Linked DNA regions of Arabidopsis thaliana. The protein of the gene in region 1 interacts with the protein of each later gene in a pairwise test. Each region holds a gene or a part of one and is shown on either strand. Other genes may lie near its edges.

The links.
Region 2: the proteins of UBQ7 (region 1) and AT2G17190 interact in binary tests that used the Arabidopsis thaliana proteins (3 or more experiments, as listed by UniProt).
Region 3: the proteins of UBQ7 (region 1) and AT1G68185 interact in a two-hybrid assay, tested with the Arabidopsis thaliana proteins (one study listed by BioGRID).

The regions. Positions count from the first base shown.
Region 1 is NC_003071.7:14,978,812-14,983,514, reverse strand, and holds UBQ7 (ubiquitin 7), read right to left. Parts: upstream 2,625-4,703; 5' UTR 2,472-2,624; coding exon 2,379-2,471; intron 2,124-2,378; coding exon 1,864-2,123; intron 1,684-1,863; coding exon 1,572-1,683; 3' UTR 1,015-1,571; downstream 1-1,014. Other genes in the region: AT2G35640 (Homeodomain-like superfamily protein), read right to left, coding at 1-680; MOR1 (ARM repeat superfamily protein), read right to left, coding at 3,154-3,407, 3,489-3,675, 3,761-3,832, 3,935-4,147, 4,305-4,461, 4,582-4,679. UniProt on the Arabidopsis thaliana protein: Ubiquitin exists either covalently attached to another protein, or free (unanchored).
Region 2 is NC_003071.7:7,476,909-7,483,490, reverse strand, and holds AT2G17190 (ubiquitin family protein), read left to right. Parts: upstream 1-1,800; 5' UTR 1,801-2,129; coding exon 2,130-2,358; intron 2,359-2,735; coding exon 2,736-3,482; intron 3,483-3,777; coding exon 3,778-3,980; intron 3,981-4,064; coding exon 4,065-4,178; intron 4,179-4,280; coding exon 4,281-4,336; intron 4,337-4,725; coding exon 4,726-4,754; intron 4,755-4,898; coding exon 4,899-4,988; intron 4,989-5,070; coding exon 5,071-5,219; 3' UTR 5,220-5,226; intron 5,227-5,334; 3' UTR 5,335-5,646; downstream 5,647-6,582. Other genes in the region: DSK2 (ubiquitin family protein), read left to right, coding at 1-33, 110-223, 404-456, 849-877, 1,050-1,133, 1,210-1,358; DAZ1 (C2H2-like zinc finger protein), read left to right, coding at 5,844-6,582. UniProt on the Arabidopsis thaliana protein: Binds and presumably selects ubiquitin-conjugates for destruction. Prefers multiubiquitin chains rather than single ubiquitins, with a binding affinity for 'Lys-48'-linked ubiquitin chains.
Region 3 is NC_003070.9:25,554,754-25,559,469, reverse strand, and holds AT1G68185 (Ubiquitin-like superfamily protein), read right to left. Parts: upstream 3,088-4,716; 5' UTR 3,067-3,087; coding exon 2,926-3,066; intron 2,812-2,925; coding exon 2,736-2,811; intron 2,648-2,735; coding exon 2,589-2,647; intron 2,395-2,588; coding exon 2,264-2,394; intron 2,128-2,263; coding exon 1,917-2,127; intron 1,465-1,916; coding exon 1,297-1,464; 3' UTR 1,290-1,296; exon of another isoform or gene 1,204-1,289; 3' UTR 937-1,203; downstream 1-936. Other genes in the region: BBX27 (B-box zinc finger family protein), read right to left, coding at 1-101, 179-250; AT1G68180 (RING/U-box superfamily protein), read right to left, coding at 3,845-3,867, 3,970-4,654.

The DNA.
Region 1 (4,703 bases):
GTGGGCGGTATAGGCTCAGCGTGAAATGAAGACGATGGTGGAGGTTGAGGCGGCGAAGGAAGTGATAAGCTAAGAGACTGTGGCGGTGGTGGCGGAAGAGATAACACTATAGTAGTCGGGATTTGATGCATCGGCTGAGCCATCATCGGAGCTACAAATCCTAAACTTTGTTGGCAAACTCTTAGGATCTGGCCACCGTTACCGTTTCCTACGGCGGCGGCGGCGGAGGAGGAGGAAGGAAGAGTTTTTCTGTCAACAAGCTCAGACAACACGTCGTATATCTGAGGCAACATGTTACTCGGCAAGTTCTTCTCTTTCCTCTCAGTCTTGTCCATCTTCCAGTAAGAGGAAGAAGTGACGGTGTTAAAAGACGATTCTACCCTTGATCTCTCGTACTCTCTGATCTTCTTGTAATCCCTCATGAGATTGTCCCACTTATCGTTGCACTGATTCTGGTTGCGGTAACATCCTCTTCTCCAGCAATACTCCTCTATCCATTTCCACCGGAGCTCTGCTGGTTTGTTTCTGCCTTCAGGTTGTTTTTCCGATCGCCGTACACGCCTCTGGTCGTCCATCTTCTTGGCTTCTATGAGAACCAAAGTCTCACTCACTGTCCAATTCCCTTTTCTGCACTCTCTCATAACTATCTGTTCACCACTCGATGGATCAGCGTCAGCCATATATGTGTCTCTTTGGATTTACCAAGAGGTAGCCATACGTGTGTCTTTGAATCTTGAATTCATGAACTAGAGAGAGAAAGAAATAAGTGTTGGAGAAAGGGGAGAAGAAAGAGATGAGCCAAAGACCGGTCAAAGTCTTTTGTTTTCTAGTACTAAGATTGTCACCAAGTTCGAAAAGACAGTGATTCCAATAATGAGAAAATATGAAAAACAAAGCAAGTTTTTTTATTCTATGTTTCCTACTAAATTAAATAATTGAACACCTATCCTTTTTCTTTTCTTATCTATGTTTCACGTGATGAAAAAAAAAAATCTATGTTTCATGTCTCTAGTTTTTTTTACTTTATATGGGACAACTCTATGTGAATCTAAGGATCTCACTGAGTAACTGGTACAAGGATCTAACAGTGTTATTATAAAACTATGCCATTTGGTGACTAGGAGTCAACTTTTAGCAACGTATAACCCCGAGATTATCACAGAAGGCCATGCTCAGCAGTGGTCTTAGACTCTTAGTACTTGACATGGTCGTTATATTTAGTGGGAAGGCAGTTGACGCCATATTCAAGGTCTCTGGATAGACGAACGAGGGAGTCTCGGATCTAGATCTCACATGCAATCTGGACTTCTCTACTTAAACGAAATATGAATTGGTATGTGCCAGTGGAAAACTCGTTAGTCAGATAACGATTCCTACCTGATACGGCACTCGATAATTAACTCACAAAGTATCATATCAGAGAGACTGAAAAATACAAGTAATATGATCCAAACACACAAGCAGAGCATAATATTCCAATTTCCCATAGCAATTTTGGTGTGTCATGAATTCCACATAAGGAGGACAATAGTGAGGGAAAAGATGTTTGTTGAAAAGCTTATTTATTAAGATCAGAGAAGACCACCCCTAAGAGCAAGAACCAAATGAAGAACAGAGCCTCCCTCTATCGCATAATCTTTGGCCGTTTTGTCATCAGCAAGCTGTTTTCCGGCATATATGAGCCTGAGAATTCAGAGCGTACCACAGAGTTATATACTGCAAACAATGTTCAGGATGGGACTAACACATGCAATAAAAATACTGCAAACAATGTTCAGGATGGGACTCAATTGAGGCTTAAATGCACCAAGACAAACACAAACTCGTCAAGTCATAAGAGAAAAACGTAAGTTTTGTTTTTACCTTTGTTGAACAGGAGGGATGCCTTCTTTCTCTTCAACACGTTCTTTGATCCGATCAATAGTGTCGGTTGGTTCGATATCAATCTCGATTTCTTTTCCAGTGAGTGTCTTCACCTTGATCATGGTTCCACCTCTGAGCCTGAGGACAAGATGAAGAGTAGACTCTTTCTGGATGTTGTAATCAGCTAAGGTCCGGCCATCTTCCAATTGCTTACCAGCAAAAATCAGCCTCTGTTGATCAGGTGGTATGCCCTCTTTGTCCTGAAACCCCAAAATGATTTACCAAAGATTCGAACAAAAGCGAGCTCAGATAAAGATCGTTAAACAAACTATCAATCCTCACAAACACTTTTTAGCTATTCTCAAGTAAATCAAATCCATGTTCTTCAAGATTACTAGAGATTCCTACTCGAAACAATTCTTAATTATACAATTCAAGGTAAGAACAAGTAGAGATTCAGAGGAACTAAGGAATCGTTTGAGGGGATAAAGAAGAGAAGAAACCCTAAATTAAACCTGGATTTTGGCTTTAACATTGTCGATGGTGTCGCTGCTCTCAACTTCTAGGGTTATAGTTTTGCCGGTGAGGGTTTTGACGAAGATCTGCATTATCTCTTCTTCTCTCTCGGATTCTTAGGGGGGTCTGTGCGATGGGGAATAGTAATTAGTCTGTTTATATATATATATATATATAGGCACTGGTAAAGGTATGAGAGGGCCTCTGGGTCGGCGTTTAGACTACGCCAACTTTTTATTATTCTGACTTTTTAAACCCAATGTCTTCGGTCATATATTAATATCTCTTAAACCAGTTCCCGGTTTAAGTTAATTTCTACTTCAATTGGTTTGCAAATATACGACCTTTGGTTAGATGGAAGAACAAAATATTACTTCCGTTTCAACCCAAAAATTAAGAATTGTTAGAAATTTGAGAGTGGAGGGATTACACAAGATATGCCAACTACATCAGAATCATATCTAAACAGAGTCGAGAGAATATTCAGGTTTCTACTAGTGGTTGAAAAAAAGATGTAAACAAGCATAGAAAGAATAATATTTTGTCTCATATTAAAAAGAATCTGGCACACTCACCATCAGCTCCCAGACTCTCCCACCACTATACACACTAACTCCATTGAAATCTAGCCGCTTCACCATAAAATATTGCTCTCTCTTATATGTTTGTATATTAAAAGAAAAGTATTTTACTACTACATTAATTGGAGAGAAGTAACAAAAATGGCGAATTTGCTTATGTAACTTCAGACTCCAAAGCTTGGGGTCTCTAGTTCTACATATGTTCCAGTGATCCACCTTTGAGCCTCTCCATTCGGGCTTGAAGACCGGACAATGCTTTCTCATCCATTGGGAGAACCACTGGGTGTGTGTGGACTGTCTCTTGTCCCATTTGGCTCGGGGGAACGCTCTGTTGGTTCATTGATAAGTTATCGTTTGTTGGCATCAGCGGTTTGCTTACTGGCTCTGATGAAGCCAGTTGCATGTTCTTCATCCTTTCTCTGATTGCATCTAGCGTCCCTGTCATCACTGCCAAAGATGTTTGTTTTTAACAGATATATATAAACACCGCAAGGAAGGACAAAGAAGGATAAGGATCTAGGAAACTACCTCCAGGATTCATGTTACTGGCTCGGATGTCGTCTGTGTATAAATCAGATCTAGGGTTCATCAAAGGCTTCACATCTAAAGAGGACAAGGAAGGAATATCAGGAGATGGAAGAGCTAAGGACGAAGGGGGAGGAGTTGACAACGGTAGGCTTGAAGGTGTTCTTCCCGCAGCTGCATTCTTCTCAACCTACAGAACCGATTGCAAAACTTCAAGACAAAAAACTTGAGTTTTATCGAAATCATAGTAAAAAGCTAGGAGACTAGTTACAGACCTGTGCCAGACCATCTCTGATGTAAGTACGAAACGCTTCACTAGCATTTTGAAGTTGGGAAAATATATCAACCTACAAGCATTAAGATGAGGTTGTAAGTACATACAATTTGGCTCGTTTGTTCATGAAGAACAGGAAACATTGAGACTTGAAATACATAGTCATATCTATTACCTTTGGATATGACTTTGTGATGTGGTAGAGGTCGTAAAGACCAATTGTGGAAGTTTGTTTGTCACCTATTTTCTTAAAAATAGCCCCAAGCTCTTGCTTCAACTGAACATCGGCAGAATTTGCAGGAGGTGAAGGATTGTTGGCTGTTGAATCTGTCCAATGGGTTTGGCCCACAGGACCTGTTGCAGTTAACATTCTTGCTGCAGCTAAAGTCTGCAGGTATTTAAATAGTTACTACCAATGGCGTCTAAATTTCTCAAAACATAGTAAAACAGCAAATAGTTTGGATGCGCTCTTTGACCAAACCCTCAGCTTCAGCAAATTTGTCAAAATTTCTGGACATGAAGTTAGACGACTAAGGAGGTCTCACCTCAAGGTTTAGATCGATGTAAGCGAGAATGATGGGTTGTGGCCTCATGTCAATAGGGACAAGAGACAAGTGGCCCTTAATTGCGGCTCCGCGGAGCTTAACAAGTTCATGTAGAACAGTTTTCACCATCCTCAGAGGTTTATCATCTGCCCCAGCTCTTTTCATTGGAAAAAATACCAACCGAGAATGCATTAGTATTGCCAAGTACGAAAAATCTCCACATAATAAACAGACATAGATTTGCAAAATTTCTAAGAGTGCATTTAAAGAGATGTACCTCCTACGTATCTCTTCCATTCCCAGATCTTGCAGATATACATGGATACTCTGAAGAAGTCTATCAAGATCAACTTCATATATGGTGCTTTGGAGGAGCTTAACAAGGACAAGCAATTATCA
Region 2 (6,582 bases), 7.5 Mb from region 1:
AGCGTATTTTCCAATCCACAATACATGAATCAGGTAGGCCTAGAATGATCTGAACTTAAGAGCCTTTTACCATTGTGAACATATATTAATTGTTTTCCCTTGATTCCAGCTTATGAGTCTTAACCCACAACTCCGAAGCATGCTAGATTCGAATCCTCAGTTGAGGGAAATGATGCAGAACCCAGATTTCCTTCGTCAGTTTAGTTCTCCGGAGATGATGCAGGTTAGTTTGTCCCCTATTGTCTGTATGCATATGAATTTTTAACATGGTAGTCTCTCAAAAGAAACATTTCTTTGTATCTAAGCTATTTTCAAGTAAAGAAGTTTCTTTTCTTTTTTTTTTTTGGGACAAAGTAAAGAAGTTTCTTAAACCTAATGTTTTCTATTGTTTTTTGGTCTTCAGCAAATGATGACTCTACAGCAATCACTATCTCAGAATAGAAATACAGCCAGCCAGTAAGTTTTGTTAAAACCCTTCGTTGTTTGGATTTGCTTAAACAAAGTTGAGCATTTACATGTCCTTTACATATTGTTTTTTGGGTTGTTTAGTGTTTAGACAATGTTGTAACTAGCTAAAAAGATTGGTTGTGAACGATCTCTATAATAAGAAAAGGATTGAACCATGACTAATGCAGCAACTCTTGTATGATTTACTGGGCTGATCACTAGTAACATCTATCAAAGAGGCTATAAATAAAGCATTTTAATCGTTGGAATACACTTGAATAGGGCTCATAACATTTTGTTTGTTTTTGATTATGCCTTTTAGCATAAGCTATGTGTGTTAATCTCCATATTTTGATTTTCATCAATCCGCATTCATGTTCCCAAATCTATCTTCTCTGTAGGGATGCGGGGCAAACTGGTGCTGCCACAGGTACTCTTAAAGATATTATATGTATTTATTCTACAGTAGTATAAAGGGTTTAGTTATGTTACGTAGTATAGCAGCTACTCTTTAGTTCTCTTTGCTTTCATGTATGTTTTATTTTAGCAGATATTGTATCGTATACAAGTTAATAGTAGAATGACAATACTGATGGGGACAGGAAATAACGGGGGGCTGGATTTATTGATGAATATGTTTGGCAGTCTTGGTGCTGGCGGCCTGAGTGGCACGAACCAATCCAATGGTTAGAGACTACAAATTTTTTTTAGCTTACGCATCTGTTGTGATGGTTCCACTGAAACTTGTCTGTTTGATTCCAGTTCCTCCTGAAGAGCGGTACGCTACTCAATTGCAACAGTTGCAGGAAATGGGATTCTATGACAGAGCAGAGAACATTAGGGCGTTGCTTGCAACCAATGGTAACGTTAACGCTGCTGTAGAACGACTCTTGGGGAGTATCGGACAGTAGCATACAGGTTCATGAACTGATGTCTCTCCATCTGGCTTCTCAGTTATAGAATAAACAGCTTGAATGTGTGTTTTTCAGTAATGATATATTCATCGAATTCATAAAAATTTATATATGATAGGATCGTGAACTTTGTTGATAGAAAAGCCGCATCAATACGGTATTTGTTATCAGTGGTCACTCTTCGTCTTTAACTACCCTTAAACCTATATATCTTGGGTGTTTATCTTTGATAACTTATTTCAAGTTGTTACAACATACAACATCTGTAAATGTTTATAGACATCAAAGTGAAATTGAACCCATTAAATTTTTGGTTCCTTCTGATCCGGTTCAAAGGTTAAACCAAATTGCCCAAAGAGAGAAGTGGCATGTTGCAAAGGAATATCCAATTAGTTGATTCATCATCTTCAATTAGATTCAAGTTACAGCCAATTCCTTCCTGAACTATATACCAAATGCCTCAATTTAGACCCGACCCGGCCCAATCTTACCCAGTAAGAGTCGTCGATACGTTCTCTGAAGCGCAAGTCATTTCTGGATTCTCATTTAATTGGCCGTTCGGGGCCAAATAACTCTTTAATTTTCTGCAGTCTCATTTGTTATTCGACCAAAAATAATTTATATCCCTTTCCTCAAGAAATCTTCAGAACCGACTTATTAGAGCTTCGAGTCTCCTCAAATCTTCTTCTACGATTTTTTCTTCTAGGTTTAGAGCTTTTGATTCTCCGATCAATTTCGCGATTTGTTGAACTAGGATCTGAAATTAGAATGGGTGGTGAAGCAGATTCGAGGCAGCCGCTGACTGCTGAAGGCGTAGCTGTTGCCGTGAACGTCAGATGCTCCAATGGCACGAAATTTAGTGTGACGACGAGCCTCGATTCCACGGTGGAGTCTTTCAAAGAGTTAATTGCGCAGAACAGCGATGTGCCGGCAAATCAGCAGCGTTTGATTTACAAGGGACGTATCCTCAAAGACGATCAGACTCTCCTCAGCTATGGTAATTTTCTGATCATTTCGTGTTTCATTTCTGTTGTTCCGTTGCTTTAATTTGACTGAAAATCTCATAGGGTTTCTAGGGGGTTGGAACATTGGATTTATGTTAGGTTTTTACAGAAGCATGGATGATTTTATGAGTTTTGATGTATGCTTAATCCTTCTATGGGAAGAATAAGGAGATGTAGTTAGTGATACGATAATTGATTCATACCATTCTTAGAGTTCCTAATGTTCTCATGATCATGTATCTTCTTGGGATGTATATTTTCTCCATCAATGGCTGTTGTTGATATGATTGTGTTGGATAGTTTCCACGTTTTATTGTTTTGCATCATGAGCCTCAATGTTTCCTTTCTCTGTGGACCATTTTATATATAGGTTTGCAGGCTGATCACACCGTTCATATGGTTCGAGGTTTTGTGCCTTCTTCTCCTTCTGCTCCCGCTGCAAATGCTGGAAACCAAACCACTGCTCCTCAAGCGGTTGGTTCAAATGATAGCTCAAACCTCGGAGGAGGTGAATCTTTGTTCCCTGGCCTTGGATTTAATCCTTTGGGTGGTGGAAATGCTATGGCTGGATTATTTGGATCTGGTCTTCCTGATCTTGAGCAGGCACAGCAACAACTAGCTCAGAACCCTAACATGATTAGAGAGATGATGAATACTCCAGCCATCCAGAATCTTATGAACAACCCAGAATTTATGAGGAGTATGATTATGAATAACCCTCAAATGCGTGAGCTTGTAGATCGCAATCCTGAGCTTGGTCATGTGCTCAATGACCCAAGCATCCTTCGTCAAACTCTAGAAGCGGCGAGAAACCCAGAGCTTATGCGTGAAATGATGAGAAATACTGATAGGGCTATGAGTAATATTGAGTCTATGCCTGAGGGATTTAACATGCTTAGGCGTATGTATGAAAATGTCCAGGAACCGTTAATGAATGCTACCACTATGTCCGAGAATGCTGGAAACAATACGAGCTCTAATCCATTTGCTGCTCTTCTGGGAAACCAGGGGGTTACTACACAAGGAAGCGATACTTCTAATAATATTTCGGCACCGAATGCTGAAACGGGTACACCTAATGCAAATCCACTTCCTAATCCTTGGGGTGCCACGGCTGGTAAGAAACTGTATTCTCATCCTCTTAATTTCATATGGGATTTTACTTGTAGTTTAAGGTTGAAATATTAAATATAAAAGCAAGAGTGGCTTGTTTTTAAGAAGTGAAAGTTTATGTTTACCACACTGGTCAGGAATAGTATTGATTATAGTAATAATTGGTGAGTTCATGTTCTCACAGTTTGTTGTTATGACTAGTTTGTCTATGAATAAGTTTCTTGGCTGTTTGTTTCTAGTTTAACTGTTACTCGTAATGCACTAAAGATTTTAGAACATATTGTGGGGCTACTTGACAGGCCAGACAACTGCCCCTGGAAGGACAAATGCTGGACTTGGTGGTCTTGGTGGGCTTGGAGGCCTTGGTGGACTCGGTATGCTGGGAGCGGACTCACCTCTTGGTGCGACTCCAGATGCTTCTCAATTGAGCCAAATACTGCAAAACCCCGCTATGTCGCAGATGATGCAAAGCGTACTTTCCAATCCACAGTACATGAATCAGGTAGCGCCTTCAGTAATCTGAATTTTAGACATTGTAGCTATTGTGAGGCTGTCTTTAATATTTTAATATTTCCTTCATTTCCAGCTTATGAGTCTTAACCCACAACTCCGAAGCATGCTAGATATGAATCCTCAGTTGAGGGAAATGATGCAGAACCCTGATTTCCTTCGCCAGTTTAGCTCTCCCGAGATGATGCAGGTTAGTTGGGCCCATGTTGTCTCTCCAGATAATTATTTTTATATCATTCAGTAGTCAAATTTCTCCGACCTAATGTTTTCTATTGTTTTTTGGTCTTTTTAGCAAATGATGTCTCTACAACAATCACTTTTCTCTCAGAATAGGAACACGGCTGGCCAGTAAGTTTGGATACCCTTTTCTGTTTTCTTTAGTTGGAACATTAGTTGAGTAGGTAATGTCCTTTATATATCATAATAGGATTTTGGGTTGATCTGTGTTTAGAAAATAGTGTCACTAGCTAACCAGGTAATTCTCTCGGTGGTGAACTATCTTATATTAAGTAATAAATGGGTTGAATCATTAGTAATGCAGCAACTCTTGTATGTTTTACTGGGCTGATCATTAGTGACCTTTATCAACGGCTGTAAAGTATTTTAGTCCTTGAAATAAACTTGAATAGGAGCATAAAAATTTTCGTTCTTTTTTGGTTCTTTCCTTTAACATTTGATATCAGTGATCTTGATTTCCATCAACCTCTATTCATGTTCCCAATCCATCTTCTTTGTAGGGATCCTACGCAAACTGGTGCTGCGACAGGTACTATATTATCTGTAATTGAAGTATGAAGGCTTCAACTAGTTCACTTAGACAGTGTGCTTTTTTTTGTTCTTTTGCTTTACTTTAATCGTATATTCATTACGTTGCTTATTGAGTAAATCACTACTATGGAAATATTTATAGGGACAGCCAATAACGGAGGACTAGATTTATTGATGAATATGTTTGGCAGCCTTGGTGCTGGCGGCCTAAGTGGCACAAACCAACCCAATGGTTAGATTCACTAGGGGCTATACTTTGATTTCTTATATATCTATTGAGATGGTTCCACTGAAACATGTCTATTTGATTCCAGTTCCTCCTGAAGAGCGATTTGCGACTCAGTTGCAACAGTTGCAAGAAATGGGATTCTACGACAGAGCAGAGAACATAAGGGCTTTGCTTGCAACCAATGGTAACGTTAACGCTGCTGTAGAACGACTCTTGGGGAGTATTGGCCAGTAACATACAGGTTCGTGAACTGATATCACTCCACTCTGGCTTCTCAATTATAGAATAAACAATGTGTTTTCTTTCAGTAATCTAATTTATGGAATTCGTATAACTACATTTATGATAGGATCGCGAACTTGTGGATAGAAAAGCCGCTCATCGATACACTATTTGTTTTCAATGGTCATCTTCTTTCCTCTTTACCCAATCCCCACAACCTTTTTTACATACTTTGGGTCGTCTGTTATCTTTCAGATTCTATTTGAAGTTGTTACCTCGTACATCTGTAGAAGTTGATTTCGAAATGTGGAATGGTTACATTTACGTTTTCTTATCTCCATTTTACTTATTAAATATAGCTGTAGTGACGTTGATAATTTGTGATTGAGCGTTAAGTTTTTCATTCGAATAACAAAGATAAATACAATAATAATTGAAAGAAAAACAAAACTTATGAGGAAAACAAAAAAAGAAATGTAAATCCGACAAAACAGGGAGAAGTAACTGCTAAGAAACCGTCGATGAAAACTAACTTGTTCTTCTTCTACTTAACCAACCATAACTCCCACTCTTCTACTTTTTTTTTTCCTCTCTTTTAGTTTTTCTGTCTTCTCTCTAGTAAGAGACTCAATAATAATGTCGAACACTTCAAACTCCGATCCCAATTCCGATATCCCATTTGCTTCCTCCAATGTAACTCTTCCTAGTTACAATCAAAACCCAAGAAGAAAACGTACTAAACTCACCAACAACGAAGTCGGTTCTTCTTCGTCTTCTCCAAGGCCTAAACCGGTCACGCAACCGGACCCTGATGCTTCACAAATCGCACGACCATGTACTGAATGTGGTAAACAATTCGGGTCACTGAAGGCACTCTTTGGACACATGAGATGTCACCCTGAACGTCAGTGGCGTGGCATCAACCCTCCTTCTAACTTCAAACGTAGGATCAACTCAAACGCTGCGTCATCATCCTCGAGTTGGGATCCATCTGAGGAAGAGCATAACATAGCCTCCTGTTTACTAATGATGGCTAATGGTGATGTCCCAACCCGTTCAAGTGAAGTTGAGGAACGGTTTGAGTGTGATGGTTGTAAGAAAGTGTTTGGGTCACATCAAGCGTTAGGCGGACATAGAGCAACACATAAAGACGTCAAAGGATGTTTCGCCAATAAAAACATAACCGAAGATCCTCCTCCTCCACCTCCTCAAGAGATCGTTGATCAAGATAAGGGCAAGAGTGTGAAGTTGGTCTCGGGGATGAATCATCGATGTAACATCTGTTCTAGAGTGTTCTCCAGTGGTCAAGCGTTAGGAGGTCACATGAGATGTCATTGGGAGAAAGATCAGGAAGAGAACCAAGTCAGGGGCATTG
Region 3 (4,716 bases), on another chromosome or scaffold:
TCAGCTATACAATAAACCACTGCTCTATACGCTTTACAAAACTCACATACTCTTTCCATATTCTCAATTATTATTATACATAACATATAAAAGATTCCTCCCTGTTACATCAAAAAAAATATCAAATTAGTTTATTAGAGATCACAGATCGAACAAAAAGAGAAGAATAAGTTTTTACCGATAAGAGAACTAAAAAGATCAGAGATTGGTGACAAAAGCTTCTTCTGTCTGTTTTTAGGAGCTTTTTCATATTATCTGAACAAATCCGTCGGTTTGGTTAGGATGACGTGGCAAAGCCACGTAGATATTTGGGTGGGGACTTAGAAAAAATGGTGATTACGTTATCCGTATGCACGTGAGATATGGGGAAGCCACGGACGTATGTGCCACTGTGACAGCTTCTTCTTTCACGACCCATCATCTCTAACTCTTAAAGCTTAGCTTTTCCTAACCAATTATTGTATGCCACATGTCGTAGCTAACTCCGGACCAAACAAAAACTACAATTATCCGACTTGGTTAGTTCGTTAATTGGTTTTATTATTTTTCACATGAACTAAAACACATAAATAGTACTTGAATGTGTTAATTCTTATAATTTTACATTTTTAAGAATTTTATTAATGACTAATGTGATGTTTTCTTTTCTATCAAGATTATATTAAAAGCTAATGTTACAAAACAAGAAATATTAGAGTCATGAGACTATATTTGAATATAAAAAATATCAGTGTAAAACGACATTTACTAAGAAACAAAGGAAAAAGTACACTAAACCGAATTTAACCGATTTACCATTGATTCCAGTTTTTGTCAGTTAGTAAAAAGCAATACTGATTATACATACAATAGTTTTAGTTTTGTCTTAGATTAGTGAGATATATATTTATGTTTCTCAAGAGATAGAGAAAGCATAACGATTAAAACCAAACAAAAGTTTAGTTAGATTTTTAGATTGGATTCAATAGGATTAGTTAAAATCAAAATGGTTTGGTTTACCTTATATATTATACACGCCTAATAAAGAGTGACAGAAAGAGTGAAAGAAAGAAAGAAACAAAATTCCGATAAAATGAGAAAGGTCACAGATACAAACACCAGATGTTAGCAGAGAGATCCCTTCCCATGCCCATGTTGATGTACAAAACTCTGGTTTTTCGCAAAAGATGGAACAGATTTGACATTCCAGATTCCGATTAGCGCCTGACTTGAATTCAATCGAAGATAATGAGTTATCATCATATCACAATAAGAGCAAGAAGAAAGATGTGGAGGACTTCATAAGTTACCTATTTGTCAAGTTTTTTTGGTGTGCACTTCAATCATATCATGATCCTCCATGCCAAGTTCAGAAGGAGTGGTTGATGGATCAATCTTATCACCGTCAAAAATAAATACAAGATTTTGCGGGTCAAGCTTAGCTTTATCTGTATACAGTTTGATAACCCTCTCAAATTTCTCGTCCTACAAGAAAATGGTAAATACCAAATCAACATTCTCATATTTTACAAGCTTTAACAGAATATGCATATCTATTAATGAGCGGCTCATTGTATGACAGAGAGCAAGCAATATGTATTCTGTGTGTAAATGCTATGTGGTGATGATACATTGATAAGAACATGAACTCGTTCTCTAGTTTATTAGATGAACTCAAAGAATAGTTTAAAGATCCATCAACTAATACACGTCTCAAATACTCGACCCCATTCAATGATTTCTTTAATCCCTGTATTTATACTCTTGCTTTCCTAGAAAGCTCGAAATATCTAGCTATCTAGATAGTAGCGAAGGTGACATAACAACTAATTCTTATCTCTACTAAATATCTAGTATCTAGCTAGAAAAAGTTTGGATAGTAAGCTTATTGTCGATGGAAGGTTGGATAGTAAGTGGCAAGCAGTGAAAAAACTTACCGCAAACACCCGGAGTGTCTTCTGTCCATCTTTGTCCTGTATTGTAATAACAATCTTGGCCCTGTCATTCGTAGGCTCTGATGGTAACTGAGCAGCAGTCTCTGAAGATGGATTGCGAGATTCTTCAACTTCCCTTTTAGCAGACTCCTCAACTTCCTGCATCACATCTCCTACAGTTTTTGTAAATGACATGAGCTCCATCTTCTTCGACCTACGTTACATATTTCATTTATAATCAAATTGTAACACTGGGACTCTTTCCGGATAGCAAATAACACTACCATAGCCTCTAACAGCAACATGGGAAGCTTAGAGATGAGAAATACTCAAAGACATACAAAAGTTACCTCAATGCTTTAATAGTTGAATCTTCAACAGAGTCTTTACTTTTGTCGAAGATAACCTTTGGTGGAGGAAGCAACCAATCGTCATCACCCGTAACTTCAATCACTTTCACATCATCATCTAACTTCTCAACCTATATAAAAAGATTCAAGTTCCAAAAGGAATGATGATAGATTCAACCTATGAATTGTGAAGTACATAATCGAATTGTTCCTTCACTGACATTGATTCAAAACTCTTTACAAGCCCACAATACCAAAAGTATCTATCAAGTTAACACAAAGAGCTCAATGAGACAACAACCAATCAATAAAAATCAATTCTTACTGTTTGTGAAGTTTTCGCTTTCTTCGGAATTGGCGTCACCGAGGCATCATCATCATCATCTACAAAAATTCAAGCGATAATAAAGGATTCATCTTTATCACTGTCGAGTGTCGAGCTCAGTGACCAAATCAAATAATCGAAACTCACCATCGATACAAACGAAATTCGCTGGCTGAACACGACGATAATCAAAAAGTGGCTCTAGATCTTCTCCTTCACCTCCCTGATCATCAATCAGTAATACAAATTCAGAAAAACTCAGGCATCAACACAATCCCACAACAGACAAAATTAGGGTTTTAAAAATTGGGGTATTGGGAATTCATAAAATTCTCACCATTGTTAGCGAATTTGGATCTTCTTCGTCTGTTTTATCAGAAACCCTAGATGAATTTGGACAGATTTTGAATTTGAATATTATTTTGCTGTGATTTTTGAAAAGACAAAAGTGATTTTGAATTTTGATGAAGAGAGGCATCGGCGATTAAGAAGCACCTCTTGGGTTTATTATTTGTTTGTTGGGCCTGTTTAGTGGGCCGAGTTTTCATTGGTTATCACACTTTTTTTTCAGATTGGTTTAATTGGGTTGGGTGACCATCATAGTTGATTGCGTATTTGTCATTTGAGATCTGTTGTACTTTAGTAGAATTTTGTTGGTATTTTTGAATGCATGACAATAAAAGATGGTACAACAAGACTCATCCTAAGTCTTTAGTAGAGAAGTCCATGGGAAGCTCTACATGAAGGTTATAGTAAACCAAACCGAGAAGGCACAAACTCGGCTTTACAAAATCAGGCCAAAAATAAGATAACCGGCAAATAAAAAGGGTTGGTGAGGCTATTCAAACCATACCTAAGTAAATTGTGTTCGATGATCACGAGAGAGAAAGAAACAAAGAAAGGGAGACAAAGCGTTTTCAGAGACTATGAGAGATCATGGAACCCTAGCTAGTAGAGTAGAGGACTAACCTTATTACCAAGATTTTTTATTTACATGTTGTTACAACTTACAAATGAATAAAAGATAATTAATGCAAATATAGTCTTGTTAATGCCAAAGTTTTGTTTCATGAAATAAACACGCTTCTAGCCTTTCATGATCACCCTCTTTGTCTCTTTATGTAGTTTTTTTTTGTCGTTTCTTATTGATGTGTGTTTCTTCTCCTCTCTCTCATAAGTCATAATACACTTAATATGTAGTCAATAATATTCCTAGTTTCATACATTCTTGTTTGCAATTCTTTAATTTTTTTTTGTCAAGAGTTTGTTATTCTTATATCTGCGAAATTGTATATATTTTTAAGAGTTAAATATCATAGTCAAAACCCGTATAAGCATAATAGAAAAGCCATGAAAGCTATATCGGGAGGTGGAATCTTACCTATGAGATTATGTACCCAATCAATCATCATTCGGAGAGGCCACAAAGAACAAACCCGAGTCCGAAACCGATTTGATCGATCATTGTCGATGTTGTAAGACCCTCCTTCGTCTACGTTACTCTCGGAAACACCTAAGTTAACCTCAAAACGACAAATGGGACAAGTGTTGTGAATGTTCAACCAAGACACAATGCAGCTTGAATGGTACAAATGCAAGCATTTCAATTCTTTTCCTTCCTCTCCAACTTCAAATTCCTCCTTGCATATCGCACAAACCTTCTCTTTCACCAAATCTTCATCCGTGATTATCACCGTCCTTACAGCCTCGATGGCGGATTGCGAGGCTGGTGGTGGACCGATTTGTACACTAGGCATGACATCAGCGAATTCCTCGTCAGTATTATAAACTAGATCATCATGATTGAACCGGTTACTTCTTGGTTCGTTGATAAGATGGAGAGTGATCCAATCGGTATCACTATCCCAATAAGGTCGGCTTGGCCTCATAATGTCAAGCTCATCGTGAAGATTGATCTCTCTAGAACAGAAAGGACATATGGGACCATATAGACCAAAGCTTCTTAGCCTAATGGTACGGCTACAATGGCGACAATAGAAGTAATGGAACGTTCTTGTTCTTCTTGTTCCATTCACAATAACTCTTGGACGATAAGCAGATGTCATGTTTTCAATCTTTTTATTTTTTCGTCGGTAGGATCTTTATATATGCATTTATAATTAAATAC